4 linked regions of the Schizosaccharomyces pombe genome follow. The gene in region 1 interacts genetically with each later gene. Each region holds a gene or a part of one and is shown in the gene's direction. Other genes may lie near its edges. The genes, in order: opa3, dri1, ppk31 and mrf1.

Evidence for each region.
Region 2: mutations in opa3 (region 1) and dri1 together harm fitness less than expected from each alone (positive genetic interaction), as found in Schizosaccharomyces pombe (one large-scale study listed by BioGRID).
Region 3: mutations in opa3 (region 1) and ppk31 together harm fitness less than expected from each alone (positive genetic interaction), as found in Schizosaccharomyces pombe (one large-scale study listed by BioGRID).
Region 4: mutations in opa3 (region 1) and mrf1 together harm fitness less than expected from each alone (positive genetic interaction), as found in Schizosaccharomyces pombe (one large-scale study listed by BioGRID).

Annotation. Positions count from the first base shown.
Region 1 is NC_003423.3:2,932,532-2,936,774, forward strand, and holds opa3 (mitochondrial outer membrane lipid metabolism regulator Opa3), read left to right. Parts: upstream 1-2,159; 5' UTR 2,160-2,450; coding exon 2,451-2,558; exon of another isoform or gene 2,559-2,623; coding exon 2,624-2,781; exon of another isoform or gene 2,782-2,899; coding exon 2,900-3,290; 3' UTR 3,291-3,591; downstream 3,592-4,243. Other genes in the region: GTPase Ypt1, read left to right, coding at 458-468, 637-760, 812-859, 923-1,019, 1,179-1,510; ubiquitin hydrolase Ubp9, read left to right, coding at 3,680-3,706, 3,751-3,858, 3,908-3,921, 3,979-4,243.
Region 2 is NC_003424.3:2,008,552-2,013,482, reverse strand, and holds dri1 (RNA-binding protein involved in heterochromatin assembly Dri1), read left to right. Parts: upstream 1-1,777; 5' UTR 1,778-1,787; coding exon 1,788-3,578; 3' UTR 3,579-4,138; downstream 4,139-4,931. Other genes in the region: rRNA processing protein Ebp2, read right to left, coding at 1-551; rdl1 (RAD51D-like protein 1), read left to right, coding at 4,642-4,931. UniProt on the Schizosaccharomyces pombe protein: Mediates heterochromatin assembly by promoting RNAi-mediated heterochromatin silencing and histone deacetylation. Binds pericetromeric transcripts and recruits the RNA-induced transcriptional silencing (RITS) complex to heterochromatin.
Region 3 is NC_003423.3:1,211,788-1,217,728, reverse strand, and holds ppk31 (serine/threonine protein kinase Ppk31), read left to right. Parts: upstream 1-1,807; coding exon 1,808-4,906; 3' UTR 4,907-5,039; downstream 5,040-5,941. Other genes in the region: peroxisomal targeting signal receptor Pex5, read right to left, coding at 1-710; npp1 (nucleotide pyrophosphatase), read left to right, coding at 5,377-5,941. UniProt on the Schizosaccharomyces pombe protein: Has a role in meiosis.
Region 4 is NC_003424.3:568,177-572,474, forward strand, and holds mrf1 (peptide chain release factor), read left to right. Parts: upstream 1-1,991; 5' UTR 1,992-2,059; coding exon 2,060-2,230; exon of another isoform or gene 2,231-2,372; coding exon 2,373-2,471; exon of another isoform or gene 2,472-2,557; intron 2,558-2,576; exon of another isoform or gene 2,577-2,708; coding exon 2,709-3,629; 3' UTR 3,630-3,700; downstream 3,701-4,298. Other genes in the region: phospholipase D Pld1, read right to left, coding at 1-1,101; putatiRho-type GTPase-activating protein Rga8, read right to left, coding at 3,818-4,298.

The DNA of each region.
Region 1 (4,243 bases):
TGTCATCAAAATCTAGAAAAGACTCATGTTTTTGTTACTCTTACTTTTTCAAGTATTTTTTTTTCCGTTATGACATATTATTTTCTCTGTTTTTAAGGAAGTATGTACTATTGTAGTCGCGATTTTGGCGTTCGTTTGTACAGTATGGATTTTAGTTAAGTATATTTACAATTTAAGATTGACTGTAAAAACTACAAAAAGTTATAATTTTATATTAATTAACTTGAGTGAAGCCTTTGTCTGCACATATAATATATTTGTTTTGAAAACATATGAAATACTACGGAAAGTTAAGATACGCTAAACGAAATAACGATACTTAATATAATTAGCAGCATGATAGTAAAAGATTTGCCCGTGAGCATTCTTTGGGCTGTAGGGTCCCCCACTCCGCTGCGTTGGTATATGCGTAGACTGAAGCGAGCAACAGAACGTCCGCCATTACTGTGCATATACGATGAATCCAGAGTAGTAAGGATTTAGCATACTATTCAATACATCAGGAGCTAGAAATTAACAATTTATAGAGTATTTTCTTTCCAAAATTAAAGAATTCTTGTAAATTGGGCGATATAATTGCTAATCAATAGGTAATGAGTTTTTTTACCGTAAGAAGATGAATGCTAATATTAATAGATACGACTATCTCTTTAAGCTTTTACTTATTGGCGACTCTGGTGTCGGTAAGAGTTGCCTTCTTCTACGTTTTGCCGATGACACTTATACTGAATCCTATATCTCTACTATCGGAGTTGATTTTGTACGTCCGTTTTCAAGCAGCTTAACCATATTTATTGCTAACTTTTTTTAGAAAATCAGAACTTTTGAATTAGAGGGAAAGACTGTTAAACTTCAAATCGTAAGTGATAGTTTACTTCTCGTTGGCGTTCCGGGATATTTTTTTATTAACGATTTATCATAGTGGGATACCGCTGGTCAAGAACGTTTCCGTACAATTACTAGCTCATACTATCGTGGAGCTCATGGAATTATCATCGTATACGATGTTACCGATCAAGGTATGTAATGTGTGAAGTATGGAAAACCAATTTGATTGTCTTCCGTTTTCTGTATATGCGCGTATATGCGTTATAAGGCGTTTGGGGGATATTTTTATGGCGTTTTCTAGTCTTCACATTGTTTCCGACGCGGTTCCGAGGCTAATGCTTGCTTCTTAGATTCTTTCAACAATGTTAAGCAATGGCTTCAGGAAATAGATAGATATGCCGTTGAAGGAGTCAATCGTCTTCTTGTAGGAAACAAGTCAGATATGGTTGATAAGAAGGTTGTTGAATATTCTGTTGCTAAGGAGTTTGCTGACAGTTTGAATATTCCTTTCCTCGAAACGTCTGCTAAAGATTCTACAAATGTTGAGCAAGCTTTCTTAACTATGTCCCGTCAAATTAAGGAACGTATGGGAAATAATACATTTGCCTCTTCCAATGCCAAATCTAGTGTCAAGGTTGGTCAGGGCACTAACGTTTCCCAAAGTTCCAGCAACTGCTGCTAAACTACATGTTTGTTGGTTATACCTCTGAATGCGCTTTTAATATATTTTTATATACATACGTTTTACGTACTTCGCTGTCATTCCTTTTGTGAGTTTCATTCGCTGACGGTGAACTGCTAATATTAGGTATCTACTTTCTGAGTTTTTACGATACTTATAGAAAGTTATTTGTAGGTTTGGATGCATGCTACGTTTCCCTTTTATCAACGGTAGTTTAAAATCTTAAGCAAAGCTATGTAGAAAACTGCTAGTCTTATGTACTTTATTTTGTAGCGTGATATGATAAACTGTTGTAAACGTTGTATAATACGCGTATTGCTCATTAACTAGCACTTTACAGTATTCCCTAAAACTATAGTTGCTTGGAACTATTTGCATAACATACGGTTCGCTAACAAAAGTCATTAACTAAAAATCAAATATATAATAGTAAGTCAAAGGTTGAATGGTATGTACGTTACATTAAGAAATGAAAATACAACTGTACTACTAAGGACAAGTATTGATAACTGCGACACTAAAGTTTCTAATACAAGCAAAATATTAAGCACACACAGGGATCGGTGTAAGAAGGATTAGTAAACCAATCAGAGAAACCGACAGAATATGCATATCAAGTTCAGCAACATCAAATTTACTTTCCTCTTCCAATAACTTTTCTAATTAATAGATTAAAAAAATAAAGCACGCACTTGGTGTTGCGGTTTTAAATATTGCTATTGATTAACGGAAGAGTATATCTTCGACCTTGCATAAATATCCTAGCTATTGTTACACGCTTATATCTGCATTCTAATTTTATCGGAGATTTCTTTCTTTTATACCTCTATTTAATTGAGGTGGTAGTACTTTTAGTCGGTAATTTGAAATCCTTTGCGGGTTTATTCCCCCTCGAATATTTTTGAAGTTCTGGTATCCATTAACATTTCTCTACAATCCAATGTCTTCTCTAGCCTTAAAAATCGGAAGCTTGTTAGTAAGAACATTATCCAAACCGATTGCCAATACAATCAAAGCCCAAGCTAAAGAGCACAAGGCTTTCCGAAAGGTATAAATCAGTAAAATAGATGATAAAGAGAATCTTATAGCATTACTAACGAAATTTCTATATAGGCATGTATTGAATTTGCTCAATGGATGCATCGCGCGGAATTTAGAATAACAGGAATTAACAGAGCTAAAAGTGGAGGAGCTAATGTACGATTACGACCTTTAAACGATGCCAAAGCAGTCGATGCTGGTGCAACATTTTTATCAGAAACTTTTATATTGTATGAAAATTAATACGATTTGACGTACTTCCTCTCCACAATGCTTAATACGGCACATTGTGAAGGAGCTACGAAATCCAACTTGTCACAATGTTCTTCTCTTGCTAACAATTTACAGTACTGTTGCTGGAGGAGCCATTTTATTTGAAACATGGAGGGCTCGTAGAAAGGAAAAGAATAGACGAGATGAAGTTGCTGAAGCGATTCTTGGTTTACAACATGAAATCGTTCGTATTAACGAAATCATGGAAAAGCAGTTTGTTTTACAGAAGAAAAAGAATGAACTCCAATCTTCGACTGAGGAAATTGATAGTACCGAAAAGGATTTTGACGAACTCCACAAAGTCATTCTTAAAGTTGAACGTGAGCTCCATACTCTTCGTCAAAACACGCCAAGTCAGAACGAGCAAGCAGAAGCCACTCCTTCAAAGGAAATCCCACGTGAAACAGTCTCAGAAAAGGCAGATCATCCTCCATCTTCTAACACCAAATCGGTTTCTACAGGTTAGTGGATGGTGAATACTACGATTACACATAACTTGCATTAATGAGTAAATTTTGATACATTGCAGAAATTCATCTGTTCCCATTTCACCAAACTGATGTTTACTTTCTTTTAATTTATTGTACATTTGATACTTCGTTTAACCAGATCACATTTCCAAAATTAGTTACGGTTTATTTATAGCTTTTTTGACTTAATATCTACTGAGTTTTATCGCTCATTTTACAATACATTGCACTTCGTTATTTTAGATAGTTGGCTGTTAATATAATAATAGCCTAAGATTATGATCACCAACGTACGCCCCTTTCTGAGCGCGTGAAAGCTTCCCTTTGCGTTCACTTCCCCGCTGTGCTTGGTTTGTAAACTTAGCATCCTTTAGTTCAACTCAGCATGTCGCTGCTTCGTTGGATGGGAATGGTAATTCAATTGTTAGTTATGAATTGAAGACTGACAAACTATAGAATTCCCCAGGCTCCACTGACCGGCGTAAAAGCACTTGGGAAGCAGAGTTGCCGAAGCCATCAATTCGCCCTGAAACCCTAACAGATCGATTCTATGGTTTAACAAATGTAAGCATTTTTATTAGTTATAATTTCTTCTGCTCTAACATATTTTTAGTATGGAAATACATGGTATGGCGATCATACTTGTAGCGTTGCTTTTATGATTGTAAATTTCTAACGAAATAGTTACGTGAGTTCTGTCTTAGTATCTTTATACCATTTAAAGCCCTTTCGTGATTCTTTAAATTCGTATCCTCTTCCGAGTGCTCCTCCAAATTTTAAAAGCGTTTGTACAAAAACCAACCATCCTGAATCATCTTCCTCACGACACAGTAAGAAAAAGAGCATGGAGAATAGGAAGTCCTCTTTATACGGGTCCAATGGTATAAATTCTTGCGGCTGTGTCGATATTAGTAACGTCGGCTCTGAATCCGGGACGAAGCATCAAATC
Region 2 (4,931 bases), on another chromosome or scaffold:
ACTTTCTCCATGTGGTCATCGGACTTTAACATTTCCGCAAAATAGTCATGAGGTCGGGAAATTAGAACATTCGCCTCACGAAGTTTGGCAAAAGCCGCCTTTACAGAGCTCACACCTTGTTTATAAAAGGCCAGTTCACGGGCAAGATCATCCTCAACATTTTCAATTATTATAGGCTCCTTAGTAGTAACAGCTTGGTTTTCAACAAACGAAATATCATCAGGATATTTAATTCGTTCATAGATGTTCTCTAGTGCAACAGTGTTATTTATAGCTAATTTTCTTTTTCTAATCAAATCAGCGTCTTCTTCCAACTCAATTCCTTCAAGATCAGAAAGTTCAACTTCATCTGATCCCTCAGATTCGTTCTCTTGATCAGCTGTATCAGCTGTTTCAATAATAGGAGATTTAATGGTATTGATCATTTCTTTCTCATTTAATGCCTCAACAGAAGTAGAAGATTCATTGCTTTCCTTGTTTTTCTTTTCCTTCATAGCAGCTTTAGCTGCCTTTTTCTGAGCTCTTCTTTGCTTTGATTCTATTCCTGCCATCGTTGTAGTCTAGTGTGTATTCTACACAAAGCTGAATTTGAATATTTTTCAAAGGTTTTGAAAAATTTGCTTTGTGCTACTTTGATTAATACAATCTACGATTAGGCTAACGGTGACAAAGATTTTTACTATTGCAGTTCACATCAAATAATAAAGAGCACATTTAGAATCGCTAAGCTGATTAACGTTGCGTTATATTACTCTTAGTCTTCATTTAGGTTGTACGGAAGGCATTTAATAAATCCTTAACGTAAATTTTAACCCTTTATTTGTCCGTATAAAATTCGTTGTATCAATTTTAAGCTATAACTTGGTCGCATTTTATCGATTGTAGAGTTATTGCTGATAAATTTATGTTTTGCTACATTACACCAACTCTAATTGAAATGACGGTAATTTAGTAAATTATCAGTTGTGTAAGTAAATTACTATCAGCTTTTTTATGTAGCAAGATGTACAAATACTTTTCAATGGATGGCTTTTCAGTATAACTTTTCCCTTGACTTCCTGATACAATTGTCAAAATAAACAACAGTTCTTTGATTGTTTACGTGGTTACAAAAAACCCCGGTATTGTTCATAAGATGTAAGCTACGCAGTTTGGTATCTGATTTAAGGATACGTAGAACTGCGGTGAGTTTTCCTTGTGATCTATTATATTACAATACACAGGTTGTATAAGTAGCAACTGAGTATAGGTATTGTATTAACTGGGTTATAATGTTAACTATCACTAATATAGCTCATAACTGAACTGAGGAACGAGGTTCAGCAGTAGCTCTATTTATAGTATTCAGATAATATTGATCTTAATAGATTATCATTAAGATCAATCTCCATATCGTATTATACATGGTACGATATATAATTAGAACATGTGACATATAGTGATACTCAACGTAGTGTAGTATTGCTGACATAAGAATACCAAATGCTTGATGCGCTAAATTATGGTATAATAATTTATCGTAAAATTTTCATTTTCATTGTGTTTCGAAAGTATTGCTAAATTTTCTGCTTTGCATGCAAAAGAATCCCACAACAATACACGATTCGACAGTAACATCAGTTGTACATATTATTGTTCATAAAAGATTTTTCTCCTTTGAATAATTCCGCTTAGGTGGATTCTAAATCTAGATTTGTTACTTTTGTGACTGTACTTGTGAGTGACAAAGAAAAACACCAACGGGTTTGTAGCTTTGCAATATCATGTCAAAGCTACCAAGTCCAACAATGCCTCTGCCAGAATCGGTAGGCGACTTGGTTGTTTTGCACTTTGAAACAAATCTTGACGATCACGGCATTAGCATTGGCCGGGCGCCATGTGAAATTCATGAAATATGCTGGGTTATATTAGATGGAAAAACTTTGGAAAAACAACACTGTGAATCGTGTAGTATTCGTGAAGATAGTTCTCGTCATGGAATTTGTGGTTCTGCTAGTTCCTTAACTGAAGCTATCTTCACATTGGATAATTCAATCCAAGAACGATTAAACTTCCAAGGAAAACCTTTTACATTTGTTGTTATGAATGGAAGAGAGCTTCGTGTATTATTGCCAAAAGAAGCACGGGATCAGGGAATTACGCTACCTTCCTACATGCGCCATCCTCGCTTGTTTGATTTATCAAGCGAATACGCCAAGTGGCAGATTCGCATGGGTGCAGTACCACCATACACAATAACGCTTTCTCATATTTTTGGTAAATTAGATGTCGACTCTTTACCACCTATTACAGAGTCAAAAGCAATTGAATTATCACCTTCAGATGCTCCTTACATAACCAAAGGTCTTACTCAATGCTGGCGCCTTGCAAATGCTACCACCTTATTGCTTCGTAAAGCAGAGAAAGATTCTCGAGGTCATTCTCTTCCTTCGGTGCTTACACAACCCATTAACTGTCAAGCAGACGCACGAAGCTTTTATGCAGAACGGTCAAAAATTGTACACGTTGCAGGTTTGACCAACGATGTAACACAGCTCGAGTTGGAAAGTTGGTTTACTAATCATGGGGTTCATCCCGTAGCTTTATGGACTTTAAAGACTCCCGAACCTTACAAATCTACGGGTACAGGTTTTGTGCTATTTGCTAGTCATGAAGATGCTGCCGATGCTCTTGCCTTTAATGGATATTGCTTAGGAGATCGGATGCTGGAAATTATTCCCAGTAGTACAAAGGTTTTAGATAAAGCTTCAGACATTCTAATTCCTTTTCCTTCTAGTAAGAATCGCCCACGCCCTGGGGATTGGAATTGCCCAATGTGCGGTTTCAGCAATTTTCAACGTCGAACGTCTTGTTTCCGATGCTCATTTCCTGGTCCTACTCATGTTTCAGCTGCTACTGGTAGCAATACTTTTTCACCTGATTTCCCTTATGGAAATTCATACGGCAACGGCTCCTCTCACTTTATTGCCAACTATGGTGGATCTGTCCATCATTCTAACGAAAATACCATGCAAAGTGATCTTCAGCATCAGAATGGCAATAATGCTGTAAATCATCATCATTCTTCACGCTCATTCGGTGGTAATGTCCCTTTTCGTGCTGGTGATTGGAAATGTGGCTCTGAGGGTTGTGGATATCACAATTTCGCAAAAAATGTTTGCTGCTTACGCTGTGGGGCTAGCCGTGCTACAGCTGCAGTCGTAGCAGATCATGCATCTGGGCCGGTGAATGGTTCGTATAGTCATAATTCATATTCTCACATCCCCCCTGTTATGAGTACAAGTCCTCCTAATCATTCGGTGTATCCTTACTCACAACTTTCTATAAATTCAGTAACGGCTAATCATGGTCAAAATTTTGGGGGACAAAATGGTGGTAATGTATCTAGGTTCGATGATCATGGACGCTTTAAAGAAGTATCACGTCCTTCCGTTACTACTGATCAAGGCGATTGGTTATGTGAGTGTGGATTTACTAATTTTCGTCGCCGCAGTAATTGTCTCCGTTGCAATGCTCCGCATTACTCTAATATGCAGATTCCTGCATCCTTGCCTTCGGATTTCAATGCTTACGTGTAAAGTTGGACAATTATATTTAATGGATAGGTCCCGTAGTACAAAGGATATTTGGTAAACACTATAGCTAAAAATGCAAGTGATTAGTGCGATAAAAATAATCACTTATGTCTTGAAGGAGCAAATTTGATGAAACAATTGTTATTATTTAAAGGCAGCATTTTGAAAAGCAACTCTATTGGAACAAAAATTTAAAAGTTGTATTGGGTTTTCTTATGAAGGTTTTGCATAAACATTGAATTACAGGTGTGGTCAAAATTAGTTCATAATTTTCTTTGGTGGGTTTTTTTCTTCTATTTAGTGCTATTTAATTTTTGACCTTGAAGAAATTTTCGGGGAAAAAACAGCAGTCAATCGTATAGAGCTCTCCCATATTTGGGATTTGGGGATTCATTTGTTTTGGAGTGTCACACTCATTGAACGTTTGAAAAAATGGTTGTTTACCTCTTACAGTTGTCAGTGCTGTTCAAATTTATAGGGTTCTTCGGTAAATAATGTATTGTTAATATTCCTTTTTTTTATTATATAATTTATAAAAATTTTGTAACGATAATGATTAAATCAATCGATACATGAGGTTACTTGTAATACATGGCATTATTAGAGAGAATTAAATTCGCATATGTAGCATTTAAAAACAGTTAGTTGATGCTTTTCTATTTTTTCTTTTTATTCTTAAAGGGTTATTCTCAATATATACAAATCCACACCAGTGTGGCTATATACTGTACTCGAATGTTGACGACCTTTCTGCTTCTTTAATCCATACCCTAATTAAATATAATCCATGTAGATAGTTCAACAAAAAACATGAGATAAGATTCAACACACACTCATGATTAGTTAAATACTTGTTGAACATTCCGGAAATTTTTGACGATTGTACGTATCTTTTCCTTCAACGCATTTGGGTGTTTATCTCTTTTAGAATGCCATTAGCATAACCAGGGGATGATTGCAAAAATCAATTTCATTGATCATCAATATCGTTGGAAAAAACAATTCTATCGAAAGTTTAAAGCATACCAAGCAAATTCTTAAAGCAGCTTATATATTTTCTGACATTATGAATCAGGTTACTCAATTTAGTGGAAATTCTGCAAACTTGATGCTTTACTGGATTCTAAAAAGTTATTACTCTAGGTTTGATAGAATTATGTGGATTGATACTTTAGGTACTTTCAATCCGGCTGCACTCCCTCTTCCATGTCTTGAAAAAACTATGTTGGTTAGATCATTCGATGCTCAGGGATTGAAGGATGCAGTTGATGAGTTGGAAAGCAATCTCAAAAGCTCCGAAGATCAAGCATATGCATTGTGTATAGATTCCTTTTCTAATCCCATTGGTTTGTTAAT
Region 3 (5,941 bases), 1.7 Mb from region 1:
GAAGTGTAAGGATCGTCAGAAATATTGTTTGACTTTAAAAAATCTTCCCATTGTTTCTGGTATTCCTCTAAACTTGCGGGCTCTAGCCCGGCGTTTTTCAATTGCTTTTGATGCTCTTCCCATAGCTCCTCAATTGATTTACTTCCAGTAGCATCCTTTTCCTTCTCTAATTTATTGGAGATTTGAGAAGCTTCCTCAAATTTCTTAGCCAACTCAGTTTCGTCAATAGCTAAAGAACTTTGTAAGGGTATTTCAGTATTTGAAGATAAATTTAGTCCAGCGGAACCAAAAAAAGATTGTTTTAAAGGTTGGTTTAAGTTTCGAAAACGGTCGTTTTCAGATGAATTGAGAAATACTTCAGAGAATTCTGATGTCCAAGCCGACTTACTATTCTGCTGCTGAAGAGAAGAAAAAGAATGTACCCAATTTTCTTTCGAGCCTCCACGAGTAGTTGTGCCGGTATGATTTCCAGTTTTTAAGCTAACTGGGTTCTTAACTACATTACCTAAAGGACTATTGTTTCCTTGGAGATTTTTGAAAGATGTGAATTGATCCTCAGACAGCGTTTGCAAAGGAGCGTAAGTACGACTTTGAGACTTGGTTAAATGTTTTCGATATTGAGCTGAAGGTGTTGAATTATTGACAACAGCTGTGGAAGTCAATTTCTTAAGAGGATTAGATAGCGTTGAACATCCTGCTTCAACAGACATTTTTGAAGAAAGTAGACTATAGCCAATATAAAGGCTCTCGACCAAAAGGAAATAGTTTTTTAAGTAGGTTGTAAGAAAATTAATATCAAAGAATGAAAAATTTCGCAACTTGATTGAATTTGCGATGTGTTTTAAAAACCAAAAATATGAAAACAAAAAAGCGGAAGAAGTAACGATGCAACTAACCAAAAAACAAAAATTGATCGCACCAATGATTGTTACAAAACTTGCGTATAAACTCAGGCATGTATTGCTGCTTATTACCAATTACAAAAATATTTAGATGAGTGCGCTCAGTTCATGTAGATGCTGAGCGTAGCACGTTAGATTAATCGCTTCTGTAATACACCACATTAACCCATATCAATTTATAATAAAGACTTTCTCTTTATTTTTTCAGACTAATCTATTGCCACTAAGGAATTTAGATTTCAACATTTTATTATACTTTTGTAAACCATGCTGCATATGTTAAAACCATAGCTTTATGATACAGAGAAAAAAATCCATATTATTTCTAAGTTCTTTTCAAATTAGTGTGATTAGAAAGTTAAACCAAGGGTTGGATTGAAGTATTAACTCTACATCTATTTATTCACCTGTTGTCTAAATTACAACGCCAAATGAATTAAATCACCAAATACTTCTGTCGCTCACAATAAAATGTATTAAAAAACTAATTAATTTTCGCTAGTCAATATTCGCTGTAACAATGGTTTTGGTTGTTTTCTGCTTAATACCAATTGATGCCACCTACAGTTCACATCCGACAAATATTTGTTAAAGAACCTGTCGCTAATTAAAGTGCTAAAAATCGCTCGTTCAAATTGTGATCTCATTATGAATTAGCATATTAGTTGGCGAATTTAATAAAGCCAAGTAATAAATTGATGATGTTATAATAACGAAAACATTGTATACAACAACAATTCCGCTTCATAAGTAAAAAAAGGTATTTAAATTATACGAGTCTTACAAACTATTAAAAGTCTTTGCCGAAAAACTATCGCGTAAGAACCATTTGCATTGATTTTACACAACTTTGAATACAATTTCTTTTATACCAAGAAGCTTAAAGTGTTCAATTATGATAAACAATGACTAATCCAGAGCAATTGAAGAGGATACTTTCCCACGAAGTTCTGCTGAAAATTGAAATGTCAAAAAATGGAATAGTGGAATATGCCAATCCTGCATTTTTTGAATTAATCGGCTACGAAGGAGATTTATTTCAATGTAGTTTCTATGAGTATCTTCAAAGCGATGATGAACACTTAATGAAGAAAGCAACCGATAATCTTTTCAGAAAAAGCATATCAGTTGCACATGTCTTTGCTTTTCTCAGATGTAATCCAATACGCAGTCCTAATTATTATATTCAACAAGCCAAAGCTCCATTTGAGGGAAAGACGTATATTAGAATGCTTTTTCGAGGCATTCTAGTAGACTCATTGTATGGTAAAGATACAAGGGTTTTGTGGGCAGGAAAATATTTATATCCACAACGGTCCGTGATCAACGAAATGGATTTCATCCTGTTTAACACGTTAGGGATTGGTGCCTTCATTCTTCATGATCATTTGCTCGGAATAATCAAATACAATTATATACACGTTCCTCCTCCTTCAGGAAAATTATGTTCGTTGTGTGAAGATAATTTACCAGAGTGGTACTTTGAGGTACATAGCGATTTTTGCCTTGTTTGGAATGATCTCGTACGCCGCGTTTTCGCCGTACAACAATTGATAAATTGTAAGAAGCTGGAAATAGAAGACATAGTTAACAAACTCCCTACGGGTAGTAATCATATGGTTGAAGAAACCTTTCTTTCCTTGCCGGTCATAACAGTATTCAACGGGAAGAAAAACAGAAAACAGAGGTTTCGCATTCGATCATGGAGAAGCTCTCTGAACTTTTTGGTTAAGGAACTGGACAAATCCATTAAAAATTTTGCTTATTTAGAACATCGAACGTTTTTGACAATTTCAAATTCTGCCGCGAAAGACATGAAGCGAGAGATTTATGAAAAATCATTGGTGAATTGGGAGTATGATTTTCTTGTTCCCTCAAAGATCCAGGATTATTTTTACGATGTTCATTCACTTCTTTTGAAAAATTTATCGTCTAAAATAAAACTCTGTAATCACATTTTAATGTATCAAGCAACGTTTAATGAAGTTAAAAATTTTCTTCAAACGTACTCCTTGAATATGCTATCAATTGAGATGGAAAACATCGAAGGAAGTCTGTACTTTGGAAATGCTCAATTGTCCAATCTAATTTGCGTAAACCAATACCTTTCCGAACAGAGACCAGTGTTTTTCAACAGGCTGTTAGCCCTTGGGAACGTTGAAAATAATAATTCAATTTACGATGACATCCAGAAACGAACAGAACGTATATCTACCATAAAAAGACATAAAAAATACTTTGAGATTGGAGAACGCTTAACAGAAAAAGACTTAATTGTGTCTAAAACCTTTAAAACAACAAGGATAGATTATTTTAAAGCGGTAAAGGGATCAATTGAAGATCTGGATGTGAGACCTCTAAAAAATCGGCAGAAATTTGTTAACAAATTCTATGCCTCGATCGTTCATTTTCTTACCGAAAGTATGCAGTTCCCAAGCCATAATGATAGGAGATTTGGGGATAATACTCCTCACTCATTAGACGAGTTCATACTTTTAAAAGAAATAAACAGAGGGGCATACGGTAGGGTTTATCTTGCTAAAAAAAGATCTTCAGGAAAGTATTTTGCTCTTAAAATGATTCCAAAATCCAGTCTTGATAGCTTAAAAAAAATAAAAGGACTATTGCTTGAAAAGCGTAACATGCATATCCAAAGATATGGACCAAACACAGTGAAATTATATTATGCATTTGATTCTGGGGACTACCTATGCCTTGTAATGGATTATTTTAATGGAGGAGATTGTGAAACACTTATTCAAAAATTAGGACCGTTACCAGAGCAATGGGTTTGCCAGTACGCAGCTGAATTACTAAATGCTATCGAGCTTTTGCATCAGGATGGAATCATCCATCACGACATAAAGCCTGCCAACATGTTGGTTGACGAAACAGGACATATTCGGCTTACAGACTTCGGACTGAGTGAAAACGTAGAGGAAAAAAAAGAGGTTTATAAGCTTACTAAGAGGATGTCATTTGAACAGAAACATGGAAATTTGTATGAGCAGCTTCAACCTAAAAAATTCGAATTTGTAAGATATGTTCGAAATTACCGCGGGAATATTGATGAGCTTGAGAAAGCGGAGAGTCCACAGCAAAATAGTGATTATGCCAATGACTCGGTCCAGCATTTACTTGACTTTGATATCAATAACATGGATGAAACAGCAATACACATGTTAATGAATCAGTTAGAGAAAAAGGAAAACCGGACATTCATCAAAAAAGATATTTCAGGGACGCCAAATTATATGGCTCCAGAAATTTTAATGGGCGTTGATACTCAGATGGGCGATATATGGGCGATGGGTTGTGTGATATTCGAAATGTTGACTGGCACGCGACCATTTGAAGCAAATACTGTAAAAGCAATATGGGCTCGCATAGAGAGAAATGATATTGGTTGGACTAAAAGAGTGAAAGAAAGCTGCTCAAAGGAGGCGGTAGACTTAATCACCAAACTCATGGATCCAGACTGTAACAAACGGCTGGGTAGCAATGGATACCAGGAAATCAAAAAACATCCTTTTTTTCGAACCATTAAATGGGATAATTTAAATAGTGGGCCAGGTCCGTTCGTTCCACAAACAGAAAATGTTGAAGATTTGACGTACTTTGAAAAAAACATAAGCGGTTCGGATAATATTAATAAAAATAATTGTCAGACGTCAGCAACTTTAATTCTAAATGGTATTTTTGCTTTTCATCCTCCTCCAAAAGCAACACCAGCTGACAGTGGTACTGAAACCTCAAACTCAGCTGCTTTCTCTGCGTCCGAGGAGGAGACCACAAATTTAACAGACCAAAAACGAAAAGATCTTTTTTCACTAATAACCAAAGCGTTTAAGGGAATAGACTTAAAGGCCCTTAATTACAACAACAAAGCCACGCTTTTGCGAATGTATGATGAGGTCGATTTCCCCAAAAATCAACAAAGAAATAAAGAGAAATTTCGAATTCAGAAACGACCTAACAAAAAGTATCGCTACCATTTATTTTAACATCATGTAAAACCATAGACATAACATGTTCGCTATCCAGAACGAATCATGATAAGTTGAAAAATGGTTAATTAATATTTCCATACAGAAACAGTAAAAAGACAAATAAACTTGTTCTACAAAATCTTTTATTCTGAGGCTTTAGCCAAATAATGCTTCTAACATAAGTTGATGTTTCCTCCTTGAATCCAAATATTATTAATAGTTGAATTTCATATATGAAAAAAAGCTATCTCATTTCACTAAACGTTTCAAAGGATGACATTTCCTATACGACAGAACATTTAAGAGGACTGAATAGTTTACGAATTGAAGTAAGTTAGAACAAAGTGTTTACCGCATATCTTTGAAAGCGTTAAATGATTTTAACAATATTTTTCGCATCGTTATTCAAGTAAGTATTATTTGACAGATTATATGATATACCTAACAATACTCCTTTATATCATTGATTTTGAACATTCGCCGAAATGTTTAGTTGGGCTAATATTGGGTCCAACGAGTATTTGCCTTTGAAAAATGATCGAAAGGCTTATTTGAATCAATGGGCAAAACGATCGGGACTAGCAATTGCCGCTATTTGCATTTTAGGAATTCTGATATTGGCAATTGTGAAATTATTTTGCTTCAAAGCAATTATTTTTCCTATCGTTGGAGGTTCCTTCAACAATGGGACCAATGTTTTTCAGTCCACTGTCATCGTAATCTCCTTGGATGGATTCCGTGCTGATTACTTATATCGTGGGTTCACACCTAATCTTCTGAGCCTGGCTGAACGTAATGTCCATGTTCCCTTTTTGATTCCTTCTTTTCCTAGTATAACTTTCCCTAATCACTATACTATTGTTACCGGTTTATATCCCGAGAGCCATGGAATCGTTAGTAACAACTTTTTTGATCCTGTAACTGGGAAGCAATTTGTCAACAGTATGCCTGAATGTAACAAAGACCCAACTTGGTGGGATAAAGGGGAGCCTATATGGGTCAACGCTGAGCGAAATAACGTTCGATCAGCGGTACATATGTGGCCTGGAA
Region 4 (4,298 bases), on another chromosome or scaffold:
GGGAAAAAATTGTAAATTATGGATCATTTCTTGTAAGTATACACCAAGAGTATTACCTTGAATGGTCCAAAAATTTCCGTGTTTTTTTCTACCATTATTGGCATGCCTTGGTTGACCAGTCGTCCGATCACCATCTTGCGAATGTGACTCCCATGATATGTCAGAAATGCTATGTGTTTCATCAATAAGTTGGTCACTGGGATTGGAATACAGTATTTTTTGATAACCCCGGAGTTTCACCAAGTAAGGGAGCACTTCTTTTGGAAATTTAGGCAATTTCATGCGTCTTCCGGAAAATCGATGTTGAAATTCAAAAAAAAGAAAGTGTGAATGAAGATTTATGAAATCGCGCAACTGTCTGTAAATCAACCAACGGATAGCATGTGGCCCAGTACCATATTCAACTTGAATTGTGAAAGTACTGTGTATGCGATTATGTTTAGGCTCCACATCAAGCACTGAGACCTTTATTAGGTCGGTAATAATAGGCAATACCGGCTGCCCAGATTTATCTCGAATAAAATGCTTGGCTATAGGTAAAGATGCAGGTATGCCTGCTTCGAAAAGATTAATAGCAGGCAAGTTCTCCTTTAATATAGGCTTTTCATCTTCCCTTTTAAATTTGCGAACAGAAGCCATTAATTGTGCCCACATTTGTCTGGCAGAATTACGGTTTGCCTTACTTGTATGGGCAGCAGCTGCATCACGTTCGTCTCTCTCTAAAGGAGGAACTTCAACGTTCTCATCCTCCATTGTCTGTGTGATAAATTCTGGAGTTTGCACTCTTGTACTATCATTCGCAGCAAGATCGTTAACGTTTTCAGAGGCTGTATGCCAAGAAGACCCCCGGGTGTGTTCCAAATCGGGCCGTTTTGGAGGATTTAAATTAACAAATTCAGAGTAGTTTTTTGGATCATTCTCAGGAAACGATGGAATAGAATGGTCGACGTTTTTTTCAAGATCTGTAATTTTGGATGGTGTGTGATCTTCTGCATCTTTCCGTCCTGTCCCCTTTTCAGAGTAGATGCTATCATTTACATTTGTGTTTAACGAATAAGGTACATTATCAATCACTGAATTTCCACCTTGATGAATTGTCATTTTGTTATTAAATTAGCAATTGGCTAAAGTTTTTTTGAGACTCAGGGAAATCCAAGTCCCTATGGAGAAAAGCCAATGCTTTATAAATGAGTAAAAGCCAAGAGGGCTTTATTGAACAAATCCCAAAAACAGTTTAAGTGGTTTGGTAAAGCTTAGCTGCGCATTTCAAAATGAATAATACACCATCATGAAAGCTTGGTTAAAGTTTCGTTTAACTGCGCTAGCATAAATAAGGAAACTTTATGAACAATACAAATGTTTATTTACATCGCTATTGTGTAGTTTAATGGTATTTGTCCAATGGATATCGATGCTTCCTACAACCAAATTATTTTTTCTTGAAGAGTTCGTCTCCCTTTTATTGTAATCGTCGAGCAAGAGTTTGTTCAGCTCAACTTACATTAGCTTATCAAAATTAACAATACATATCTCTACTAGTTGTCAGCTATTCCTCACTAAATTATTATTGCACTATGTTAAATACCACTATATTGATTTACGTTTCCACTTTCAAAGTCGTTAATACAGCAAAAAGCTACACAAATGCCCTACATGAGACTTAGATATTTGCGTATTATGCTATTATAAACAATGTGCCTACGTTCCTCAATTCCCTGATTATTATACTATGCAGCATAGTTATTGCTAGCCAAATTAATTATAACTGTATTCGTGGCGACTCTACTCATAAAATAATAGCAAACTCTTTCTAGGTGTATAGATTCGTAAAAAAAATTTACGAGTTAAGAATGCGTACACAAAATTTTACTTTGCTGTGCACTGTCGGATTATAATGCATATCCGACAGAATTTGCAAGGACCTCCTTAAATATCATAAAAGTACTTATCGAAGAAGCACACCAAGGTCAGAAAGGCGGTTTTAACAGGTTAACACTAATTAGTTTTACTGCTAATTCTTTGAGTATGCAGAAATAAAAGAAACTCAAAATACAAGGTGATGCTTCTAACTAAAAAAGTTTTATGGTACTTTAGACATGGAATTGAATATCAAATTCGTAGCATTGCTTGCAAAAAAGGATACTCTGAGCATAACGTTTCAAGAGTACTTATTGAAAAAGCCCGATCGCTTTCTTCAGAGTATCTTCAATTCCATCAAGTAAATAATAAAGTAAGTGTCGGCAAACAAAGTGTGAAATCAGCCTGCTACTGTTCGAGATACAATAATAATGGTAATACAAGCATACCGGACATTAAGCTTTACTCATGAAAAATTAAAATCTGATATAAATGATCTAACTTATATCTTTTAGGATCAATCGGCAATGACAAACGATACAGATTTAGCAAAGCGAATCGCTAGGCTTCGACGCGTTCATAATGCATATTCGAAATTTAAAAGTTTGTCTGAGGTATGATATAAGACGAATTTGTCTCAAACTTGTAGTCAAAAGCTTTCCTTTTTTTTATTACTCTTCCTATTTATAGTAATCGATTTACAATGGTTTTTTTTTGCTAATGGGTCTATAACTTAAGACTTTTGCCAGGCATTTACTGTTTATCTAAGTAAAGCTATTTGATGAGCATGTTGAAATACTTAAATAACTAGTTTTTGAAAACCTTGATTTAAAAAAATTCTAACAATTTAGCAAATAAGCGATTTGAAACAAATGGAGGCCCAAGAGTCAGATGCAGAGGTTAAAATGATGGCAGTGACTGAAATAAACGAAATAAGTAATAAAATACCAAAAAGCATAGAAGATCTTGAAAACACATTACTTCCACAAGCTGATTCATATGCTCTTCCTGCATTAATCGAAATTCGTCCTGGTGTAGGAGGAACAGAGGCCGCAATATTTGCAAATGAACTAGTGGAAATGTATTTTCAGTATGCAAATTTTAAAGGATGGAATTGCAAATTTATATCAAAAAGTGCAGTCCAAGGACTTGAAGCGATAACGGAGGCCATCTTCTCTATTGAAGGTGAGGGAGCTTATGGTCATCTTATGTTGGAAGGAGGTGTTCATAGGGTTCAGAGGACTCCTGCTACCGAAACTAAAGGAAGAGTTCATACGAGTACTGCATCAGTAATCGTTTTACCTCAGGTGTCAAATGATGAATCCTCTTCTCTTTACGATTCATCTGAAGTTAAAATCGAAGTAATGAGATCTCGTGGAGCCGGTGGACAACACGTTAATAGAACAGAATCCGCCGTACGTTTAACACACATACCCACTGGTATCACTGTTAGCATGCAAGATTCTCGTTCTCAGCATCAAAACAAAGAAAAGGCATTTCTTGTACTGAATTCAAGATTGGCTGCCTTAAATGCCGCAAAAGAAAATGAGGCTGAAAGACTGAAACGTAAAAATCAAGTAACGTCTTCAGATCGTTCGGAAAAGCTACGAACTTATAACTTCAACCAAAATCGAGTAACTGATCATCGGATAGGTTTAAGCATGCACGATTTATCAACATTTATGCAAGGTGAAGAAAAATTTGACGAGTTTTTGGAAAAAATAAGAATATGGAATCGTGAACAGTTGCTATTACACTCTGAAATAGTATAGGAATGCTAATTTAGTCTAGTAAAATAGGAAGGTACAATAATATATGGTGGTCAAACTTCTATAGAGAAAAATGTTTATTAGGTATATGCAATGAATAATGAGAAAAGAATGTGCAACATGTCATGCAAATAAGATATCCATAACTGATCTTTAAAAAAGATCATAGGTTAACTCATAATAACATATTTTTAACTACCACTTAAACTGGAATCTCTTGAGGCGACTGCTTCGTTCACTATCTTTGCATCCTGATCAATAAAGATTGCGGCACTTTCATTGGAAGCAGAAGAATGGCTGAAATTACGTCTTGTCTTTCTAGTATTCAAGGCATACGACGATCTGATCAATGAGGTGGGCACATTTTCAAGAGTAAATTCAGATTCAGCGGGAATTTCTGAAGGTTGCAGCTCCTCAAACGAAGATCTTGGAGATTCGACAGCAGTATGAGATCGGACAGAAGAAATGGAGTCTGGTCTAGTTGGTGATACATCTGTACTCCGAGGAGTAGCAGAAGATTGATATAATACACGGTCAGAAACACGTTTGGATGAATTCAATTTTCTGAGTTCTTCAAAAATACTTGGTCCGTAAGTTAAAAGATCCTCCATGAACTTCGTTGGGTGCTTATCATGTTGAATACCCAAATTCCATGTTGCTGGACGGGAAATG